4 linked regions of the Arabidopsis thaliana genome follow. The protein of the gene in region 1 interacts with the protein of each later gene in a biochemical or structural test. Each region holds a gene or a part of one and is shown in the gene's direction. Other genes may lie near its edges. The genes, in order: TIR1, RCE1, SHY2 and IAA28.

Region 1 (6,587 bases):
CTAACTTTTAACTAAATAAATTATACTCATAATAATAATGCGTTGACCAAAGTATTACCTACTTAGAATGATGTGGTTTTCATGCGTAACCATGAACCATCCAATATCAATTAAAAAAGCTAATAATGAAAAAGGTATAGTTGCGTGACGTATATTTGCAATATGGGATTGGAGAATAAAATAACATAGGAAAATGGCTAAAAATAAATGCGGAAAAAAGTTACTAGTAAAATCGTGATTGGGAGGGACACGAAATAAGAAAGCGAAGATATAAGAAATATAATTGGTCAGAATTTGACAAATCATATAACGATATAGAGAAGAGAACAATATGAATAAAAATGGAAAAAAGGATGGCTTCCACTAATGGGGAAGGTCATTATAATCAAGACATAATCCAAATTAGCTTTATAAATCACGTGCCACTTTACTTGTACTTGTACACCACCTCTTCATCAATCGCATTATATATATCACTCATCATCTATCTTATATATAAACAGTAGTATTATGTAAATACTATAGTACTATGTTATTCTTTTATATATGTCCGTCCACACATGCGTACACATATTTCTATCTCACATAAACAGTAGTAGTATAATGCAGTCTGTAATATTCTCGGCTTTTAGGTACACAATTTATAATTCATTCAGAGTTGGATCTAATATCGCTGAAGAGATAATTAAAAAAATAATTAGGGAGATAATTAAGGGATAATAGACAGCAAAGAGCAAGCTAGTTTTGAGTACGAAACCCGAGACTAGGAGAAAGAAATAAGAGAGATTCGCGGGGGAGCCATGCGTGGGATTATTATTCTAATCATTTCCTTAAAAAATTCATAATCAATGACCTCTTATTATATCAGTGTAAGTTAATCCCTTTTTCTGACGACATTAAAACTTATAATTTTAAAAAAACTTAAGCGTATTACGTGCAAGACAACTCAGCTCCACACTTCTCCCATCTGACTATACTCAGCCCTCTCTTTGTTTTTTCCTAATTATCTCTTTCTTCGTTACTACCTCAATTTCTGAGCACTTGCTTGCTACATTTTTTTTTTTTAAAATCTTCGTATTTGTATGTATGTCATTATAATTTTTAGATTTTATTTTTGGTTTAAGAACTAATCAACAGTACATTCAAAAAGAAAACTAGAAAGGTGCGATATTTTAAATAGTAGTTTAAGTGGATAAACGGTCAGGATGGTATGTAATACGAAGATGATATAGAACAGTTTGATAATGTGACAAGTTTTTTTAGTTAGGGCAGGACAGACCTATCAACTCCATGCTCAGACTCTGCAAAGCCCATCATACACTGTTTCGAGAAGAAGGGCATTCTCGTCAATTCAATACCCATTTATTTTCCTCTAAGCCGTTGTACTTGCGACAGAGCCCGAAATAATTGTAGTTTTTATACGTTTATTACACCCAGACGAGGTAAATTAATTAAGAAGTAATTATTAATTTTAAAAGTCACGATTGTGTATGTATGTATGTCCGTACACTGTTAAAAAGGGGTCCCAGATCTGACGGTCGTGATTAAAATGCGACGCTGCACTTTCTTTCTTTCTTTCTTCTCTACTTTATTCAAATTTTTCAGTATCCATTCTTTCTCTCTCTTTTTTTCTTTCTCTACTCATAAAAGTTGTTCACTTTAAATTATTGGATACTTCCCTCACATTTACTCTTTTTTGTGCAATCCTTTCAATTTTAATTTAAATTATTCAGCAATCTTCAAAAACATACAAATAATGTTTTAATCCAATCTCACACGAAAACACTGATTCTTGTTATGTTAATTCATCATTCAACTCTATTTACTTCACTTTAATGCTATGAGAAAGGATACACTTTAGTTAATCAAATTTATCAATACTATATATTACTAGAAAATAGAAAATGAAACTGTGATTAGTCTTGATGGTTTATTTATGAATCCAAGTGGTGGGTAAATAAATGAACATGCAAAACTAATAATAGGAGGAGATAGATGCTCAGATTCCACATCAAAACATGATTGGACGGTTGTGATGTCATCATAAATAACAGTAATAGCTTCTTTTTTTATTGTTTTGTTACCGTCAGATCATTAGTAGTCTAGTATTTTTTTTAACATTCTGTTGTGGTCCCCGCAATTTACGGGGCTTCCCCTCATATCCAGCCGTGCATCGCGTATCATTAGATTCCCTCTTCTCCTACACCTTACCACACCCTATCATTGATCTCCTTCTCGCGCTATTTTGATAGAAGCCGCGATAAGCCGACCCCCCCTCTCCAATATCTCGTCCCGTTTTCTGCGGCTGCCCTTCTCTGCACAGTCGATAAGATAATCTCCCGCTTTCATTCAATCGGACGGCTGGTATTTGAAGCTTATAAGACACGTGTCATCATCAGAATCGACAATCACAATCACCGAAAAGGCTCACATGGATATGTTTGACCACGGTTAACTTTTAACCCAACCATGGTTGGCTTTTTTAACTTGACCTCCTTCTCCTTCCCCCTATCCTTTTCTCTTCTCTTCCCACTCTCTCTCTCTCTCTATCTATCTTCTTCATCTTTGTTTCAGCTTCTCCTTTGAAACTAGATTATCTCCGTTAATGGCGCCTCAGATCTAACCTTGGGAGTTATATATATATACTTGTTCAACTCTTCTTCGAACGCTGTCCAACTTCTTCCTCTGGTTCGATCATCGAGATCTCGAGGTTATTTGGCCGCAATGCAGAAGCGAATAGCCTTGTCGTTTCCAGAAGAGGTACTAGAGCATGTGTTCTCGTTTATTCAGCTGGATAAGGATAGGAACTCAGTCTCTCTGGTGTGCAAGTCATGGTACGAGATCGAGCGGTGGTGCAGGAGGAAAGTCTTCATCGGGAACTGCTACGCCGTGAGTCCAGCGACGGTGATTAGGAGGTTCCCGAAAGTGAGATCCGTGGAGCTTAAAGGAAAACCTCACTTTGCTGACTTTAATTTGGTACCTGACGGATGGGGAGGTTACGTGTATCCATGGATTGAGGCCATGTCTTCGTCTTACACGTGGCTTGAAGAGATAAGGCTGAAGAGGATGGTGGTCACCGACGATTGCTTGGAGCTCATAGCCAAGTCTTTTAAGAATTTTAAGGTTCTTGTGCTTTCTTCCTGCGAAGGCTTCTCCACCGATGGTCTCGCTGCTATCGCTGCCACTTGCAGGTATTCTTTTTCTGAATGTTTTTTGTTTCATCAAGAAGACTCCCTTGTGTCTCTAGGAAGAAGCTTTTGTTTGTATTAAACTTATTGGTGTGTGATTTGTATATTCATTATACTACATAAAGTCTCAATTATAGCAAATTCATGTACTTGTTATTTGATCTGGGCATATAGGTTTTGCTGCGTTGTTCCTGCTGATGTTACTCTGGTCTTTGTGAGCTTTTTTTTGGTTTGGTCAAGATTTTGCGTATCTAAAAGATATATGTTTTAATCACGTTTCTGAAGATTCTTATTATAGCCACTCTCTTTTTCTTTCTGGTGGGTCTTATTTAACGGTGGTGTATCTATTTATTCCTGGATTATTCGCTCTCAGTGAATCTCCTGAGGTGGGAAATCTAATCAATTTGGCTTTGTGTGTGTTACTTTTCTTTTTGTAGGGGACTTTCAATTTTCTTTTTTTACCTTGTTGGGAAACTTAGATCTGTTTTCGGATTCCCCTTCTTTACTCGCTTTAGCTCTGTTTTAGCATCTCTCACATTGCTTCCACGTGATAAATTTAGTAATTTGTTATTGTTCTATGCTTAGATAGTTTCCCAAAGTGATCTTTCTACATTGTATCAAATACAACTTTGGACAAATTAATGACAATTATGCTCATGTATTGTAGGCAATGTTTATGTTCTCGAAGTTGTATAATGTGGGTCACTCGATGCTAATTATGTGATTTCTTATGCAGGAATCTGAAAGAGCTTGACTTACGAGAGAGTGATGTTGACGACGTTAGTGGCCACTGGCTTAGCCATTTCCCAGATACATACACTTCTTTGGTATCACTCAATATATCTTGCTTAGCATCTGAGGTCAGTTTCTCTGCTCTGGAAAGGCTGGTGACTAGGTGTCCCAATCTCAAGTCTCTCAAGCTTAACCGAGCTGTTCCACTTGAAAAATTGGCTACTTTACTTCAAAGAGCACCTCAATTGGAGGAATTGGGCACTGGTGGGTACACTGCAGAAGTGCGACCAGATGTTTACTCTGGTTTATCTGTAGCGCTCTCTGGGTGCAAGGAATTGAGGTGCTTATCTGGATTTTGGGATGCTGTTCCTGCCTATCTTCCAGCAGTTTATTCGGTTTGCAGTCGGCTTACAACTTTGAATCTGAGTTATGCAACAGTCCAGAGCTATGATCTTGTCAAGCTTCTTTGTCAATGCCCTAAACTGCAGCGCCTCTGGGTGAGTCCATTTTAACATACATTAACACATGAATTTGGAATAGGTCATTTTACTGTATGGTATGAGAAAGCTTATGTTCATAGTTTTCTTAAAAAATTTGAATGATATAGAGCAATATATCTGAATTATAAGCATTAAAGCCTTTTTCTTTTTGTAACTGTGCTCTAACTTATTATTGACTACAGGTGCTTGACTACATCGAGGATGCTGGTCTTGAGGTGCTTGCTTCAACCTGCAAGGACCTACGCGAGCTGAGAGTGTTTCCGTCCGAGCCTTTTGTCATGGAACCAAATGTGGCATTGACGGAACAGGGGCTTGTCTCCGTCTCCATGGGCTGTCCAAAACTCGAGTCGGTTCTCTACTTCTGCCGTCAAATGACCAATGCTGCATTGATAACCATTGCTAGGAACCGTCCCAACATGACTCGCTTCCGTTTGTGCATCATTGAGCCAAAAGCCCCAGACTATCTGACTCTAGAGCCACTGGATATTGGATTTGGAGCCATAGTAGAGCACTGCAAGGATCTCCGTCGCCTCTCTCTATCTGGCCTCTTGACCGACAAGGTTTTTGAATACATTGGGACATATGCCAAGAAGATGGAAATGCTCTCAGTGGCATTTGCAGGAGACAGTGACTTAGGCATGCATCATGTTTTGTCCGGGTGCGATAGCTTGAGGAAACTAGAGATAAGGGACTGCCCGTTTGGAGACAAGGCGCTTTTGGCCAATGCTTCAAAGCTGGAGACAATGCGATCCCTTTGGATGTCTTCTTGTTCCGTGAGTTTTGGAGCCTGCAAGTTACTAGGACAGAAGATGCCAAAGCTGAATGTGGAAGTCATCGATGAACGGGGTGCACCGGACTCGAGACCAGAGAGCTGCCCTGTTGAGAGAGTCTTCATATACCGAACAGTGGCTGGTCCTCGATTTGACATGCCTGGCTTCGTCTGGAACATGGACCAAGACTCAACAATGAGGTTTTCCAGGCAAATCATTACTACTAACGGATTATAAGACAAAGAAACGAGGTACATTTTTCATTAATCCTTGTTCATCATCCCATATAATCGTGTTCCGGTTTAGGAACATGAGAGAGCTCGGTCGCCAATAATTTGAATCTCGGCTGCTTCATATAACCATCAAGCTCATGAGCAATGAATAAGTGGAGAGAGAGAAAGAGAGATCTAAGAGAGCTTTGTTTTATTTATGTAAGAATTATTGATTGTTGTATGTTTATTTGGCTACTTACACTGAGAGATCCTGGTGGGGTATTTTTCTTAAGAGGATAAGAGATTTTTTTAAAAGACAATGTCAAAAATGTAACTGTTCTACTTGTTTTGTTTGGACTCTTTTATCCTTTTAAATGTTTTCTATCTCTCTCTCTCTTTGTCTTTGCCATTTCCTTTGTCCGCTTAATGAACTGTTTGCAGCCTTTTCGGTTTTGGAACAGCACCTAGTTTCGTCTCAGGTCCCTACACTCTCTTTATCACCATAATTAGAAACAAGAGAATCTTGCTCTGTGTAAAGGTCTTGGAATAGCATCATCGTCAAACGTGTGATAGGACACAATGTAATTGAACTGTTGTTTTTCATATGAAAAACAAGCTTTTTCAAATTTTCAGTTTACATGATGACTAAACACAGTAATACCATTTATATAACAGTACGATATTTTCCGTTTCAAGTGTTTTTAGGCCAAGAACAAAAATAAATAAGCAGAACACAGCCCTATCGCTCTATGGTTGGACCAATGACGGGAAAATTCAATGAAGAAGAGTTGGCTTCAGAAAATGATCACTCTGTTTCACTCACTGGATCTTGTGGCGTTGAGATTCTCCGAGTGTTGTATGAACCGCAATCACTGCACTTGTGTCCCAAAATGTGGAACATAGCTTTACTCCCCTTGTTGCAGTCATTGCAGAGAATTGAAACCTGCAGACATTTTCTTGGCGGATGTAAAACCATGAGCACAAGGAAAACAAACCAAGAGGTGGCACAACGTTGGATTTTTAGACATTTACCTCAAACTTGTACTCAACAGGCATCTCTGTTGCGCTTATCTGTACAAAGAATGTTGGTTGGTCTTTACCTCAATAAATTCACCAAATCAAAAATTTGATTCTTACCTCGAAATCTAATAGGTGCCACGAAGGAGACATATCCACCATTGACTT
Region 2 (5,249 bases), on another chromosome or scaffold:
ACGCCGTACCTTTGGATAACTAATCTGAACACCAATAAGGCAAGAACTAGCGAATCTATCAGATCCAACCAGAGTTCCTGTCCTAAAACACATTGTTCATCATTACAAATACGAGCCAAAAGAACAGAGAGTTTAATACTCAAAAAGACTGAAACCAACCAGGGACTCTATTACAGACACATGAACCTCTTCATATTTCATCCATTACTATCCAAATTTTTTAGTACATGAAAACATAGAGATGATTACACCAACAAACTCTAGAGAACCTGTCCGAGATTTCTACAATTCCAATCTAATAATGATTCCCGACAAAAGGAATCGAACACAAATCAGTTCTGTCTATAGGCAATGTAATTAGCCAAAGCCAACAAAGGAGCAACCTTATCAGAATCAAACCCTAAAAGCTGATCACGAGCCTCTCTATTCAATTTCTCAGCAAACTCTCTCGATTTCTCCAAACCCATAATCTTAGGATACGTCAACTTATCAGCAATCAAATCTTTCCCAGCAGTTTTCCCTAACTCTTTCGACGATTTCGTCACATCCAAGATATCATCAACCACCTGAAACAACAAACCAATACATCTCGCAAACTTTCTTAACCTCTCAATCTCATCATCACTTCCTCCACCAACAATAGCTCCCAAAACAGCAGAAGCTTCAAGCAACGCCGCCGTTTTATGCAAATGGATAAACTCCAAATGCTCTAAACCGACGTCGTTTAAATCTAACCCTTCACTACTAATATCCACGACTTGACCCGCCACTAACCCTTCTGTTCCTATCGCTTTAGCCAATTCTCCAACGGCTCGAACCACTCTCACCGGAGAAACAACATCAGAACTCGTCGCCGAAGCTAAATGCTCGAAAGCGAAAGAGAGAAGCGCGTCTCCGGCTAAAACAGCGACGTCTTCACCAAACACTTTGTGGTTGGTCGGTTTTCCACGGCGGAGATCGTCGTTATCCATACAAGGGAGATCGTCGTGGATCAACGACATGGTGTGAATCATCTCGACGGCGCAAGCTGCTGGCATAGCGGTTGATTCTTCACCTCCGACGAGTTCACAAGCAGCGATGCAGAGAACTGGTCTAACTCTTTTGCCACCGGCGAGAAGAGAGTAACGCATCGCTTCGTGGATCTTGAGTGGCTCACGGAGAGGAACAGCTGAATCTAAAGCTTTGTTGACTAATTCGGCTTTGGTGATGATGTACGACATGAAATCGAAAGAGGATGGTTCAGATTGGCGTAGATTGTCTTCTTTTGTAACAACGGAAGAAGAAACGATTGAAGAAGATGATGAAACGGTGCGTTTTGATCGAAAGGAGATGGGTTTAGTAAGAGTTATAGGACAAGATCTGGATCTGGATTTGGTAAGGATTGAAGATGGATGATGATGATTGTGGTGGTGAACAACAATCCATGAACCTAGAGTCACTGAAGCCATGGCGATTTCTGAAATCTGAAATTTTAGATTTGAGAATTTTTTATATTAGTATTTATTTTTTTTTGTTTTTTTTGGAAAGTGGAGTCAAAATTATGAATGGAGAATTGGATTGGCCATTAGTGAGAAGCTAGGAAGTAACAGATAGGGTTGTGTTACGGAATGGGCCTTGTTAGTGGTGGAGATGACGATCTTCACTTTTATTGAAAAGCATCTTTTTTCTTTTTTCACTGTTTTTGTTTTATTGTTTTTAAGTCCATGGAAAATGTTTTTATAGCATAAAGATGATATTTTTCTGGCTTAGATTACAGATAAATTACTTGTCAGTTTTTTAGATTTTTTTCTTTTTATTTTCAATTCTATACCACAAATATATACTATTGTTGTTTTGGTAAAATATCAAAATCTTAAACACATAAATCTCATCTGTTATTTTTTTCTATACCACACATTGAATTTAGATGATTACGTAGTGATTAATGATTATCTTGTTTTGTAGATTTGTTACACGAAATTAGTAAAAATGGCATAAAAAATGCATACGGGTCACAAGTCCCACTTGTGGACATTTTACACGAGCTCGTTGATCTCTGACAACTGCTTGGTTTTAACTTATTAAAAGCGCGCAAACTACCAAATTTATTGTTGGAAGATAGATATAACTGAAATGGGCCTAACGGGCTTTAATGGGCCAAGCTGGAACTCAACAAACAGGTACGAGATTTTTGAATTATTCTGATTCAGCGTCGAGAAAAAAGCTACGATTGTGTGTTTATTATTATTGCAACCATTTCTCTGCTGTTTCTTCGTCGTTTAGCTTCAGAGGACGACAATCCGGTAGGCGAGAGAGAGAGATTAATCAATCGGCGACCTTTTTAATTCGCTCGTAATTCGTTTTGATTTTCGTGTTTTTGCAACGAATTTAACAACTTGTAAGCTTCTTCTTCTTCTTCCTTCATTCTCTTTGTTTGATTGTCTTGGTGTTTAACTTTCGATGTTTCGACCTAGTCGTTGTTTTGAGATTTCTGATTCTACTTATGTGGAAGGAAAGTCTTCGATCTTTGAACCTGTTAAAGTAGATTAGCTTGTCTTGTAATAACGCGTTTTCATTTCTGAGATTTTGGTTATAGCTTTGTTTTAGGGATCTTATGATTTGGGATTCAATTATTGTGTGAAAGTCTAATAAGCTATGTTACCAAGATTAATATAAAAGTGGGCATATGAGTTTAGTTGCAGTTGTGATTTGATATATCGAAAGGATCGATTTTTTAAGGTCTTCTTTGATCTGTCATAGAATTAATCATTCATTCTTTGATTTGTCACAGCTGTGTGTGTGGGTGTGAGTTTCTTAAGAGAAGTCAGAAACAATGATTGGGTTGTTTAAAGTAAAGGAAAAGCAAAGAGAACAAGCTCAAAATGCTACTAGAGGAGGAGCTTCTGTTAAGAAGCAATCTGCTGGCGAACTTCGTCTTCACAAAGGTATATAAATGCCTTGTTGATCTTTTTTTTGTTCTTGCATCTCCAAGTTTCAATTTTTGGTGTTTTTTCCGATTTTGAACTGTGCAGATATATCAGAGTTGAACCTTCCTAGCTCTTGTTCAATATCTTTTCCAAATGGCAAAGATGATTTGATGAACTTTGAAGTATCCATTAAACCTGATGATGGATATTACCAGTTAAGTAGTGCTTTTTTTCCCACTGAAACCTGCGTTTTTGTCTCTTAAAAACTTTTTGGAAACTTATTTGTTTCTTTCTTACCAAATAAACAGCAATGGTACGTTTGTTTTCACATTCCAAGTCTCTCCTGTGTATCCACATGAAGCTCCAAAAGTTAAATGCAAAACCAAGGTAGGCCTCTCCTCCTTTTACATGCCTTATATAGTTTACAGCTTCTACTTCAAAATCGTTTGTGTTGTAGAAACTCTTTGTTGGTTTTCTTGTTTAGGTTTATCATCCCAATATCGATTTGGAAGGAAACGTTTGCCTGAACATCTTGCGTGAAGATTGGAAACCTGTTCTTAACATTAACACAGTTATCTACGGACTCTTCCATCTGTTCACGGTAATTAACCGGACAGTTCGATCAAACAAAGGTTTTTGTGTTATTTGGTTTCTGAACTGAGTGATTGTTTTTCACACAGGAACCCAATTCTGAAGATCCCTTGAACCATGATGCTGCAGCAGTTTTGAGGGATAACCCAAAGCTCTTTGAGACCAATGTTCGCAGGGCCATGACCGGTGGATATGTCGGTCAGACCTTTTTCCCGCGTTGTATCTAACAAAGCTCTGGTTTGTCTTCTTCAAGGAAAAAGATAAGAACCAAACCCTTTGTCCGCCATTGTATTTCTTCTCTTTCTCAAGGACCCTCGTTTGTTTGTTTGATCTTGTAAAATTACATTCCGCGTTAAAGTAACCCTTTCCTTATATCGAAATCTTGTCAACTTTAAGTTCGTGAGAATTCGATAAAGGAGACTAAAAGGAATTGTATAACATGTTTGATCTTTGTCATTTCTTGGGTTCCTTATAAATCATTTGTTTAAATTTCATTCGAAATACTGTTTGAAATATAGCCTTCATAACTGGATTTTTTTTTGTTTGGTTCGGGTTTGCTAAAACAATATTCTTGTTTCAGGTTTAGATTAAAATATAAATCACATCTATCCTATTCGATTTCCATTTTGATATCTAGAAAATAATCGATTTCATTCAACGTTTGATTCATATTTTTGTACACACGTTTTGATTTATTCGGTTTTAAAAAAAGCTTCAATTCTGTTTTAAAAAGTCTTGCTATGGCCTAAGGAATAATATGAAAAAACAAATGTTTACAATCCCTAACGACTAATGCTAGATCCAAATTCCTGTCTTTAATCATTATATCAATTTAGTATTTTGATTAAAGAAAAATAATTTTAAAAGTCCGAAAAGACACAAACTCAAAATTTTAAAACTATTTTTGAAAAAACAAATGAAAACCTAGAATGATTAATAATAGAAAAAACAAGTTGAAATATTTACAATCGCTAACTACTAAGGTTGGATCCAAAATCCGGTTAGTTTTCACATAATTATGTAAATTTTGTAAAATATTATGTAAATTTAGTATCCGAAGAAATATATTTATTTTTTTTCTGAAAAAACAAAACAATAAAAAAGCTTTCACAAATTAGAAAGAAAAAAATTAATAATTTAAAAGATATTTTTAAAAAATCCGTAAAAACTGAATATTAATTCTACATAATAATGGGAAAAATAAGTTAAATGGTTGGAATCTCTAACGACTGAAACTATATCCAAAATTTGGTTAGATTTCTTATCATTATATATTTTATTTTTAAAAACAAATACAAGTTTGAAAAAATTTATAAAATTCCAAAGAAACAAAAATAAGTTAAATGGTTGGAATCTCTAACGACTGAAACTATATCCAAAATTTGGTTAGATTTCTTATCATTATATATTTTATTTTTAAAAACAAATACAAGTTTGAAAATTTTTATAAAATTCCAAAGAAACAAAAACACAATTTTACAAAACCTGAATTAAAAACTTGAATTCTAAATTTAGATAACAATAAGAAAAACAAGTTAAATGTTTGGAATCTCTAACGACTGAAGTTGTATCCAAAATTCCGTTAGATTTCTTATCATTATAAAAATTTTGAATCCAATATTTTTAAACAAATACAAGTGAAAAAACTTATAAAATTCCGAATAGAAACAAAAATACAATTTAAAAAATCTGAATTAAAAACTTGAATTCTAAATTTAGATAATAATAGGAAAAACAAGTTGAATGTTTGGA
Region 3 (4,960 bases), on another chromosome or scaffold:
AAAGAAAATGGGAAAAAAATAGTGGTGGTTAGATTGAAGTGGTCCAGATACGCCGTCAAAGCAAAATAAAACTCCAAAATGTAGCGGCCCAGCCCATTTAATTACTCCTATAAAGATGGTCCAATTGCAAATGAAAATGTGTTAAAATTTCGGAAAGCATTATTTCTACTACGAAGGAATTTAACTAACTTAATAAAGAAAATATTCTAAACTTTGGACCACACCAATTATTATACAATGTGTTGATTTCTATTGTAAATCATTTATATCAACAAAAGAGTCATAAGTACACTCTAATTTCGTTGGTTAAGTGCTAAAAATCTTGCGCGGTTTAGCTTTCGGATTAGATTTTATAAAGAGTGCTATAATCAACCAGCGATTCTGTGATCAGATGTGGGACCTGCATCTTCTGTCATTGGTTACACGTGTACGGTTGATACGGTGGCTTGAGATCTTCTACTGCTCTGTAGGGCAAGCAAATATTTGAGTGACATGTGTTATGATTAATCATGTCGGCAAATACAATTACGAACGAATTATCATCATTATCTTCACTTCTTTGGCTAAATTGCTAATGGATATTGGAGGAATTTATTAGGTTTTAATCCGACATATAAGAGTATATACAAAAGAAAAATATTAATTTTTCAAATTTTATTTTAGAAAAAGTTTCATGAAATATTTTGCGTTAACTGCTACTATAGTAAATTCGTGATTGTTACTTAATGGTCTAATTTATCCTTTAAAAAACCAAAACAAATCATTTTTGTGTGATTAGTTGTTGTAGCTAAGACATTGTCATTTTATTTTCAGTATAAGTTACTAAATTCGTTTATATATATAATTAAATTGCAAAGTATGCTACAGTATGACATATAATGAGTGCAGAAAAATAAAAGATGATGCCATAATACTATAGTGAATGAGAAAAGCCTGCGGATATTCATGCCTAATAAAAGTCTTTAACTCCTTATGGATAAGATATATATGGGAATACAAAACATTTAATTTATATTTATTTTTTATCTTACGTTCCACTGACGGATTATAAATAAATTTTTTAGGAAAAACTTTATATTTGTTTGTGTGTGCAAACTTTATATTACATATATTAGTCATCAAATGCTTCTATATATTGTGACCAATTCACAAATAATGATATAAATATATATATATTCCCATCAGTTTTTCTTGGTATAAATACAATTAATTCAATTCAAACTTATGACCTGTTCTGTCAAGAAAACGAATCTAGTAATTTATGACTGAACCAAGAAGAGAATGTTTCTCACCGTACAGAAGAAATCAATGCGTGATGAGTACTGAGTAGCTGTTAGCAGTCACCTCTAATTGTATGAATTTATTTTGTTGAAATATGTTCGTTAATCGTTAGTACTTGTTGAAAGTCACTACGTACGTATATATGTAGATAAAAAAAAAAAAAAAATTCTTTTAGGATTATTGTTACACGTATAATGTAAAGTTATAACATAAGTTCTTAACAACTCTTTGCATAGTACCGATTCGGACTTCGATTTCGAAAGCCATGCATGAGAAAACCAAAAAATGGAGCCAAAACTTAGATCCGGTTCAATTCGAGTAGGTTATGTCAAAGACGTAAACATCTACAATAGGAGCTCCATATAAGTAGAATACAACCAATGCCACGCTGTAACATAAACAAAGACAGCGAGAATCTGTTAAAGATCTCTCAGGTTCCAAAACAAAACTACAAGACCCCATTATGATGTTACTGACATTTAACTAAAGCCTTGTGCTAGTTGATCCTTAAGGAAGATGTCCTGTCGTGATGCTCAGTTTTATTTCAAATTCATATATACGTGTGTGTGTGTGTGTGGTGATCATGATTAATAGGTTAGAGACAGAGAGACAAAAGTTGTGGGCTTTAACAAACCCCAGTAAAGAACAATAAGTAATTTTGTCACGTAGGCTCTGTTTTTGGCTCTTCAACACCCAAAGTACCTGTTTTTTGAAGATGTGAGACATAAATTATTACTTATGATCTCAAGTCAATAAACTCATCAAATCTGAACTACCCACAATCCAAACATTGAACACTAGCTACCTTTACATATAGAGTTAATTAACCATCCATCTATTGAGAAAACGAGTAAAATATGTATTCGGTTGTTGTTCTTGGTAAGAAAAGATTATGAGCTTACGATCCGAAATTTCTTGGTTGTGATAAGTTATTAATGGGAGATAGAGAGAGGTGATATGCCCATATGGCATACCACATGTGGTGGGGGATTCGAAGATTTGATCTGGACCGTCTATCACAAGAAAGAAAGATGAAAATATTTTGTTTTTGGGTTTGGACAGATGGGAGAAAAAGAAAGTGTCCCCACAAATGTCCCCAAGAAGATGGGACACACTTTTGCCTCAAAGTTGCTGTTACTGCTACCGACAAGCTTAGCTTTTTTTCCTTTGTCCTTAATTCAGAAAACAGTTTCTTCTCTCTCTACCAGTATCTATCTTTATTCTCCTTTAACTTGTATAAAACACTCAGCTTCCTCGAAGCCTCTCATCTTCATCATCAGCAGCTTCTCTATATCTCTCCTCTCTTTCAAGGATAATAACCAAAAGCTTTTCTTTTTATCTTCTCCTGCAATTCTTGAAGAAATGGATGAGTTTGTTAACCTCAAGGAAACAGAGCTGAGGCTGGGATTACCGGGAACAGATAATGTATGTGAAGCAAAAGAGAGAGTTTCTTGCTGTAATAACAACAATAAGAGAGTACTATCAACTGATACTGAGAAGGAGATTGAATCATCATCAAGGAAAACTGAAACATCCCCTCCTCGAAAGTAAGTTAAACTCACACAAAAGTCTCTGAATCTGTAGTGGTGGAGAATTCAGTTGATTGACCGTGTTTCTTCCTTTTTGCAGGGCTCAGATTGTTGGATGGCCACCAGTTAGATCTTACAGGAAGAACAACATTCAGAGTAAGAAGAATGAATCTGAGCATGAGGGTCAAGGAATCTATGTGAAAGTAAGTATGGATGGTGCACCATACTTGAGGAAAATAGATCTGAGTTGTTACAAAGGATACTCAGAGTTGCTTAAAGCTTTAGAAGTGATGTTCAAATTCTCTGTGGGAGAGTACTTTGAGAGAGATGGATATAAAGGTTCAGACTTTGTGCCTACTTATGAAGACAAAGATGGTGATTGGATGCTCATTGGTGATGTTCCATGGGAGTAAGTCTTCTTTCATATACCTGTCTGAAAACAATTTCCACAAAATCAAAAATCAGAAACAACAATTTTGTAAGTGTTCTTATGGGTTCTGTTTGTTGTTGCAGGATGTTCATATGTACGTGCAAGAGACTAAGGATCATGAAAGGATCAGAAGCCAAAGGTTTAGGCTGTGGTGTATGAGATATATCTTCAAGAAATCTAACAGAGACACAAAAGAACTTGAAGAAAAATAGAGTTTCTTTTGGTTCAGAGAAATCTCTGTCTGTGCTTGGGTTGTCGGGTTTCTCGGGCAAGATCTATGTTCATTGGATTGAATCCAATTCATAGCCTTTATTTACCTCATCGGTAAAATTCAAATGTAAACATGCTTAATGGTCTTAAGCATATGAAACTGGAACCTAATTACATTTTGTTTCAGAAACAGGGCAAAAGGTTGTCCTTAAATCTTTGGTTATGTGTATTACATTAATTAAAGTGTTATGAAGATTGAAGAGTTGTTTTTATATTTGTAGCAATTCTGTTTTGCGTTCTCATTGATCAAAGAGATTTTCAAGCAATACCCATTTTCTATTTTGGTTCACTAGTTCTTAGATCATATTATTGATGGTCGAGGTTGGATTACTCCCATTAATTAATACAATTCGATCAAAGCCAACATGAACATAAATCAATAGAAACAAAAAAAAAACTTATCTTATATGAGAAATACGTTTTGCCCAAAGCTTAGGGTTCATTTCATCAGCCAAAAACAACAGACACCTACCTCTCTGCTTTCATGGCAACATATATATACGCATTAGATCCAATCAGAAGATGTAAGACTAGACAGGCCGTAGTAATGAGTGAAGCTTTTGGAATTGATGAACTGTGTTACGAGCTTCTTCGTTTTCTCAGACATGGCGGGAGAGACCTTGTTCACGCCTGAAACAGCAAAACGAATAATATATAATCAGCTTGTAAAATGCAGATTCTTTAGTTATAGAGTTTGAAAGATTGATGCAAATGTACCAATAAGACTTTCAACAAAAGTACGAAACAGAATTCCAGGAAAGAGTCGAGAGAAAACTCACCTGTAGCTTCTTCTTCTTAGGCCTTCTCTTCCTCTTGGGTTTGTGAGCATCAGAATTAGAACTCAAGTTGCTACTCTGACTTGTATGCGAACTAGTGGCAGCATGTGAAGACTGGCTTCTTCTATGTGAAGTGTTGCTGGAGGAAGGTATCTCATTCCTCTTCACAGATGAATACTGACGAGATGTTGATGCAAACCTTGACCGTGGTGGTGGCATTAAAACCCTAGTAGAGTATGGCTTCTACAATAAAAGAAAAGAAATCACTTACCAAAATACTAACATTCAATATATAACACTTCATTTTCATATTCTTTGATCCCCCCCGGAATTGAACAAGTTACGTTTCTGACTTTCTCGGCGTATAAGAGTCCCCAGTATCATGCAACAACAAAACTGTGAGTAGCTTTCGCATCATACCTGATTTCTTTCGTCACTGGACATGCTCGATGTTGCTCTACCAGAAGCACTAGAAACCGGCTCTCTGAGAAAAAAACGCTGACAACAGTCAGAGATGATCTTTACTGGAAACGTTAAGCCAGAAAAGAGTCAACAATCGACTTCTTCTAGCATAGAAATCATATGGAATTTAGAGGTGAATACACCACTAGCCTCGTTGACTCTTCTTCATCTCTCATGTTATACACTAATACAATCGATAAACTACACTAAGT
Region 4 (5,148 bases), on another chromosome or scaffold:
ATAACTACCATATTTGCGATAATGCATAAGGATAAGTTTGATCAAAAAATACCAAAATTGTTGAGATTATAGTAAATTTTAGATTGAAAAAAAACGCAATTCAGATTAGTTTATTCAGTAAAGCTAAGATTGAATCCAAATTAAAATCTAATTTTCCGTACAATCCATCTCTTATAATTATAAATGTTATGCATACATTCACATTGCCTCACAATCAATCTAGAATATCGATTCTTTAAAACAATATATAGAGATTCATAAGTAAAGTACTTCATATTCTAATGATGTTTATCTTCTAATATTACTATCCATCTATGCGTATTCTTATGGATTTTTGTTTCAGGGTCAACACTAGATTATAAGAAACTAGATTATAGTTATACAATCTTAAACAATAAACAAAACAAATATAACTTAATTTAATTTTTTATTTTTAACTAAAATCAACTAATTTAATAGTTTATAAAAAAACCAAATACTATTATTTAACATAAAGACCAAATACTATTATACTTTAATTATAAAAACTACATCTTATTGAAAGGTATACACTAAAAATTGGTTTTATATACTACAATATCATAAATTTGTAAATCACAAATTATTTTTAAATATATTAATCCAAGATGTACCACATGTCGATCCGTCGATTTTTATATATATTAGAATAACAATATTTAAAAATAACAAAATGATTTTCATTTTACGGAATGAAGTTATATGGTGGAACGAGTTTGGGTTGATATTAATACGGGACGATAATCTACGAGTAAAATCTTAGAATTAATAACTATAACATAATTATATAATCTTAAACACTAAACAAAATAAACAATATTTACAAAACAACTATATCTTAAAATTTGAATTTTTAGTTACAAAAAATCGACCAACGGTGTACCGCGGAGTTAAATTTACATTATATCATCTAATTGATCAAATTTCAAACAAAAACAATCAATTTATATATACATCAAACTAACAAAAATACACAGATTTTCCAAATATCTCTATATATTCAGCAAATCCAAACAAATCTAACAATATATTTACCATGCAAAATATAAATAAAATATAAATAATATAAATTAATAAAAAAAGTTAGCTATTTTATCATAATTAACACTGTACACTGTTCTATGCATATTATAATTTATACACTATAATATTTTTAACTAAAAATGTATTCCATTATATTTATATACACGTATGTGCAGGGTCAGAATCAAGTAAAAATTACACTATAAGCTCTGTCATTATTAGTGTGATGATTAGTCATGGTATATTGGTCTCGGACTCTCGGTTAATTAATATAAATCGGCTGAAGAAATTGTTTTGCCCCGAGTTAAAAAGAATAAAACAAATAGGTGATGACCCATGAAAAAAGGTCAAAAGACAAAAGAGAATTTCTAGATTGCCACAAATTTCTAGACAAAAGACACAAGATAAGTATAAACCAATTCAACTATAAGAAACTGTGAAATAGCCACAAATTTTATGTGTCTATTTCAACAGTTTTATTTGTAGTATTTTGAGCGTTGACCCATTTTAGTTATTTTCACTAATCAAATTACAGCTTATTTGATTATATGCCATAGCTATTAAGTTTTTTTAAGATTGAGTTGAAAGATCCTTAAACCATCTTGATATATTTCTAAAGTTATACTTGATTATGTTTAAGATGACTTTTCATGGGTTGGCAATTTCCGTAAATCAATCGATTATGTAACTTGAAAAAAAGGACAAACATTATGGAGGCCAAATTAGAGTAACAAAAACCAAGTTGGTAGTGGACTTTTCGTGAAAAAAGAGAGAATTTGTAGTGGAATTCTAAGTATACATACAATTAATATTTGCAGTACTTATATATCAAATAAAAATAAACAGAAGAAGGTTAGTAAACGAAAACCTACTACTTTACTCCTTTTATTGGTAGGTACTCATTTAAGCATGCCTAGGAATCTCTTTCCTCTTTCTTGTTTCCTTTTCTATGTCGGCCTCTACTCTCCAAGAATGGGTGTGGAGATGATCATATGATGACTATGTTGATGATCACATGATGACACAACCATGCATGATACATTTCTTTGTCTCATGAGTCACGGTGACATACATGAATTTTCTAAAATACATGTGTTACAAATGTCATGCATAAGAGAAGCAATTGTACATAGTTTATATGATTATAGTTTTCATTTTCTAAGTAAGAATAGCATTCATTTTCATTTTTCAATATGATTTTAATTCATGTCACTAGCTAATAAAGGGGTATTACTAATCACTGTTATTTATATATCTCTTTGTTTAAATTGGTTTATGTGTATGTGTTGGATATTCATTTTGACTTTGGTGCTATGGTAGCATTTTAGTTCTTTGGTAATTTTCGGTTACCCACATCTTTTTGGATCGAATTAGAATGATAATGGACACGTCTAGACAGCGTAATAATTTGGTGATTACATCTAAGATTTTTGGAATCATATGTTTTGTAATTAATCAGAGTTATTCGGTAGTATGAGACCCCACACGGCTATGAACCATGTTACCATATATTCTAAGTGGGTTTTTAATTTGATAACCACCTACCTATAACTCTAAATTAGTCTATTGGATTTTTCTAATGATCATCATATAAATTTATTCTCTTTATATAATAGTAATCGTTGTAAATAATATATGTGTGTCTCCCATCAATCCGCATCACATTCGTAGAATCATACACGTATGTAAACGCATTTTTGACATACGGAAACCATACAAGTAGGATCTGTTAGGTGGTTATTAATTCAAAATAAAATCTCTTTTCATTAGAAAATATAAAGAGACTACTTTTATAAAAAGATTGGGATTGTAGTTCCTTGCCAACCACCCATATAATAATACTCCCCAACACCAAAAACACAACACAAACTTAGAAAAATGGAAGAAGAAAAGAGATTGGAGCTAAGGCTAGCTCCTCCTTGTCACCAATTCACTTCCAACAACAACATCAATGGATCTAAACAAAAAAGCTCGACCAAAGAAACATCATTCCTTTCCAATAACAGGTTCTCTTAATCTCTTCTCATGAATGATTTGAATCATTCTTGTTCATTGTAGATGTCTTATATGATAATAAAATAAAAATAAAAAACAAAATCCTGGTAATTCTACAGTTTTCGGAGATTAGTTTGGGTTTCGGTATCTAGTTATCAAAAAGTATTTGTGTATATGTTATAACTAGATATGGCTAAAACAGGGTTGAGGTAGCTCCAGTGGTGGGATGGCCGCCGGTGAGATCATCCCGGAGAAACCTAACGGCACAACTAAAGGAGGAGATGAAGAAGAAGGAGAGTGATGAAGAGAAGGAATTGTACGTTAAGATCAACATGGAAGGAGTTCCAATAGGAAGAAAAGTCAACCTTTCAGCTTATAACAACTACCAACAGCTTTCACATGCCGTTGACCAACTCTTCTCTAAGAAAGATTCGTGGGATCTAAACAGACAATACACTTTGGTCTACGAAGACACTGAAGGAGATAAAGTTCTGGTCGGGGATGTTCCTTGGGAGTAAGTTTTAAATCAAACAAAACTAATTCCATTTTTTTTTCTGGAACTGAATATGAACTTACTTTATCAAAAATTCATTTTATATCTATCTACTTTTGTTTTTGTCGAATTTAACAAATATTTTTAGTATGAGTTCCTAAAAAGAGTTTGGCCATTTCTCATCAGATTATTATTTTCCTTTAAAGGTCATATTTTTGGATATTTATCTGATAATAATTTGAATCATTGGACATATTAATGATATAGTTTACTTTATTTGTTAGGATGTTTGTATCTACTGTAAAGAGGTTGCATGTTTTAAAGACCTCCCACGCCTTCTCACTCTCACGTAAGATTACAATTCTTACGAAACTTTTTCATACATCTCATCACTTAATTACTGCCTTGAAATTAACTTATATATTTATTTATTTTTTCACAGCTAGAAAACATGGCAAGGAATAGAGAGAGGTTGGCCAAAATCATCAGTTCGATGGTTTGTTTTTAATGTAATTTTTGTGGAAACTAATGGGGTTTGGCTTTGATTTACTGGTTTTCTTTTTCACTTATGTACTAGGTTTTTGCTTGCTATGTTATTTCTTGTTTTGGTTGTAAATATGCTGTTCGTTTAAGAAATCGGGGGTTAGTATGTTATCGTGTGTATAAAAATAGTGTAAGCACGTAAGTTGATTACAATGCCTGATATGATTCATGCCTTCGTTTCGTTTTTTAGTAGGGAAAATGGTATTTAATTAGCGAAATCAAACCGACTCATTTTATGTTTTTTTCAGAGAGGTAAAAATCCAGAGAGCCTGTTTACTATGTATGAGTAAAGATTACCCGAAATAATAGAGAAATAGATACAAGAGGCTATCCAAGTTTGGTGGGTTCGAGTTTTATAACACCATCCAAAAAAAATTGTTGTTTTGTAACACACATGAGTACCAATTGTTTATTTCACAAAAGACAAACCATTTATTTCATGAACTGTAATCTTGTTATGTTCATGAATTATTTCGGTATAACATGTAATTAACTCGAGTAATATCTTAAAATAGTATTTAGAGTAAAGATAGTAGGGAGAAAGATACTTTATTTTTTTATAACTCATATAATTTTAAAAATTTCATACACCCAAAAATTGATTATGGAGTATGGAAAAACCATGTTAAATTACTTAAATTTTGGTGGCTAATACTACTCGAACTCAGATGGTGAAAACGACTTTAGACTTCATTAATATAAATATATATATATATATATATATATATATATATTTATATGAGTTTTTACTTATTGTCAATTGGTTTTGGAATTAGTAATCTATGAAACTTAACATAGTATCAGTCTATCAGAGGTTGAACATTCGCTGACCCGTTAATCCAACTTGGAAAATGGTCCGATTACCTCTACTAATTGATGATCCAAAGAAAAACTCAATTATGTCGAGATAGGTAAAAAAACATTATTTTAAAAGAAATAATGAATTTAAAATTAGTAAATAAAATTTAAAATTTAAAAATTCTCCTATAAATTTTGTGTCTCACAACTTTCTTTCAAACTTTTTTTCTTCAAAAATATACCGTATGCTGATGAAATTTTTATCTTTACCAATTAAG

What was found.
Region 2: the proteins of TIR1 (region 1) and RCE1 form a complex in vitro, tested with the Arabidopsis thaliana proteins (one study listed by BioGRID).
Region 3: the proteins of TIR1 (region 1) and SHY2 form a complex in vitro, tested with the Arabidopsis thaliana proteins (3 studies listed by BioGRID).
Region 4: the proteins of TIR1 (region 1) and IAA28 form a complex in vitro, tested with the Arabidopsis thaliana proteins (one study listed by BioGRID).

Annotation. Positions count from the first base shown.
Region 1 is NC_003074.8:23,272,319-23,278,905, reverse strand, and holds TIR1 (F-box/RNI-like superfamily protein), read left to right. Parts: upstream 1-2,275; 5' UTR 2,276-2,724; coding exon 2,725-3,191; intron 3,192-3,924; coding exon 3,925-4,417; intron 4,418-4,602; coding exon 4,603-5,427; 3' UTR 5,428-5,841; downstream 5,842-6,587. Other genes in the region: AT3G62970 (zinc finger (C3HC4-type RING finger) family protein), read right to left, coding at 6,208-6,345, 6,435-6,473, 6,540-6,587. UniProt on the Arabidopsis thaliana protein: Auxin receptor that mediates Aux/IAA proteins proteasomal degradation and auxin-regulated transcription.
Region 2 is NC_003075.7:17,339,712-17,344,960, reverse strand, and holds RCE1 (RUB1 conjugating enzyme 1), read left to right. Parts: upstream 1-1,925; 5' UTR 1,926-2,377; intron 2,378-2,770; 5' UTR 2,771-2,812; coding exon 2,813-2,924; intron 2,925-3,011; coding exon 3,012-3,120; intron 3,121-3,214; coding exon 3,215-3,293; intron 3,294-3,390; coding exon 3,391-3,507; intron 3,508-3,586; coding exon 3,587-3,724; 3' UTR 3,725-4,029; downstream 4,030-5,249. Other genes in the region: GGPS1 (geranylgeranyl pyrophosphate synthase 1), read right to left, coding at 333-1,448. UniProt on the Arabidopsis thaliana protein: Accepts the ubiquitin-like protein NEDD8/RUB1 from the ECR1-AXR1 E1 complex and catalyzes its covalent attachment to other proteins.
Region 3 is NC_003070.9:1,127,003-1,131,962, reverse strand, and holds SHY2 (AUX/IAA transcriptional regulator family protein), read left to right. Parts: upstream 1-2,273; 5' UTR 2,274-2,343; coding exon 2,344-2,828; intron 2,829-2,910; coding exon 2,911-3,219; exon of another isoform or gene 3,220-3,323; coding exon 3,324-3,399; 3' UTR 3,400-3,814; downstream 3,815-4,960. Other genes in the region: AT1G04230 (rRNA-processing EFG1-like protein (DUF2361)), read right to left, coding at 4,135-4,140, 4,290-4,529, 4,707-4,770. UniProt on the Arabidopsis thaliana protein: Aux/IAA proteins are short-lived transcriptional factors that function as repressors of early auxin response genes at low auxin concentrations.
Region 4 is NC_003076.8:9,030,561-9,035,708, forward strand, and holds IAA28 (indole-3-acetic acid inducible 28), read left to right. Parts: upstream 1-2,643; 5' UTR 2,644-2,919; coding exon 2,920-3,047; intron 3,048-3,238; coding exon 3,239-3,550; intron 3,551-3,813; coding exon 3,814-3,878; intron 3,879-3,971; coding exon 3,972-3,994; 3' UTR 3,995-4,580; downstream 4,581-5,148. UniProt on the Arabidopsis thaliana protein: Aux/IAA proteins are short-lived transcriptional factors that function as repressors of early auxin response genes at low auxin concentrations.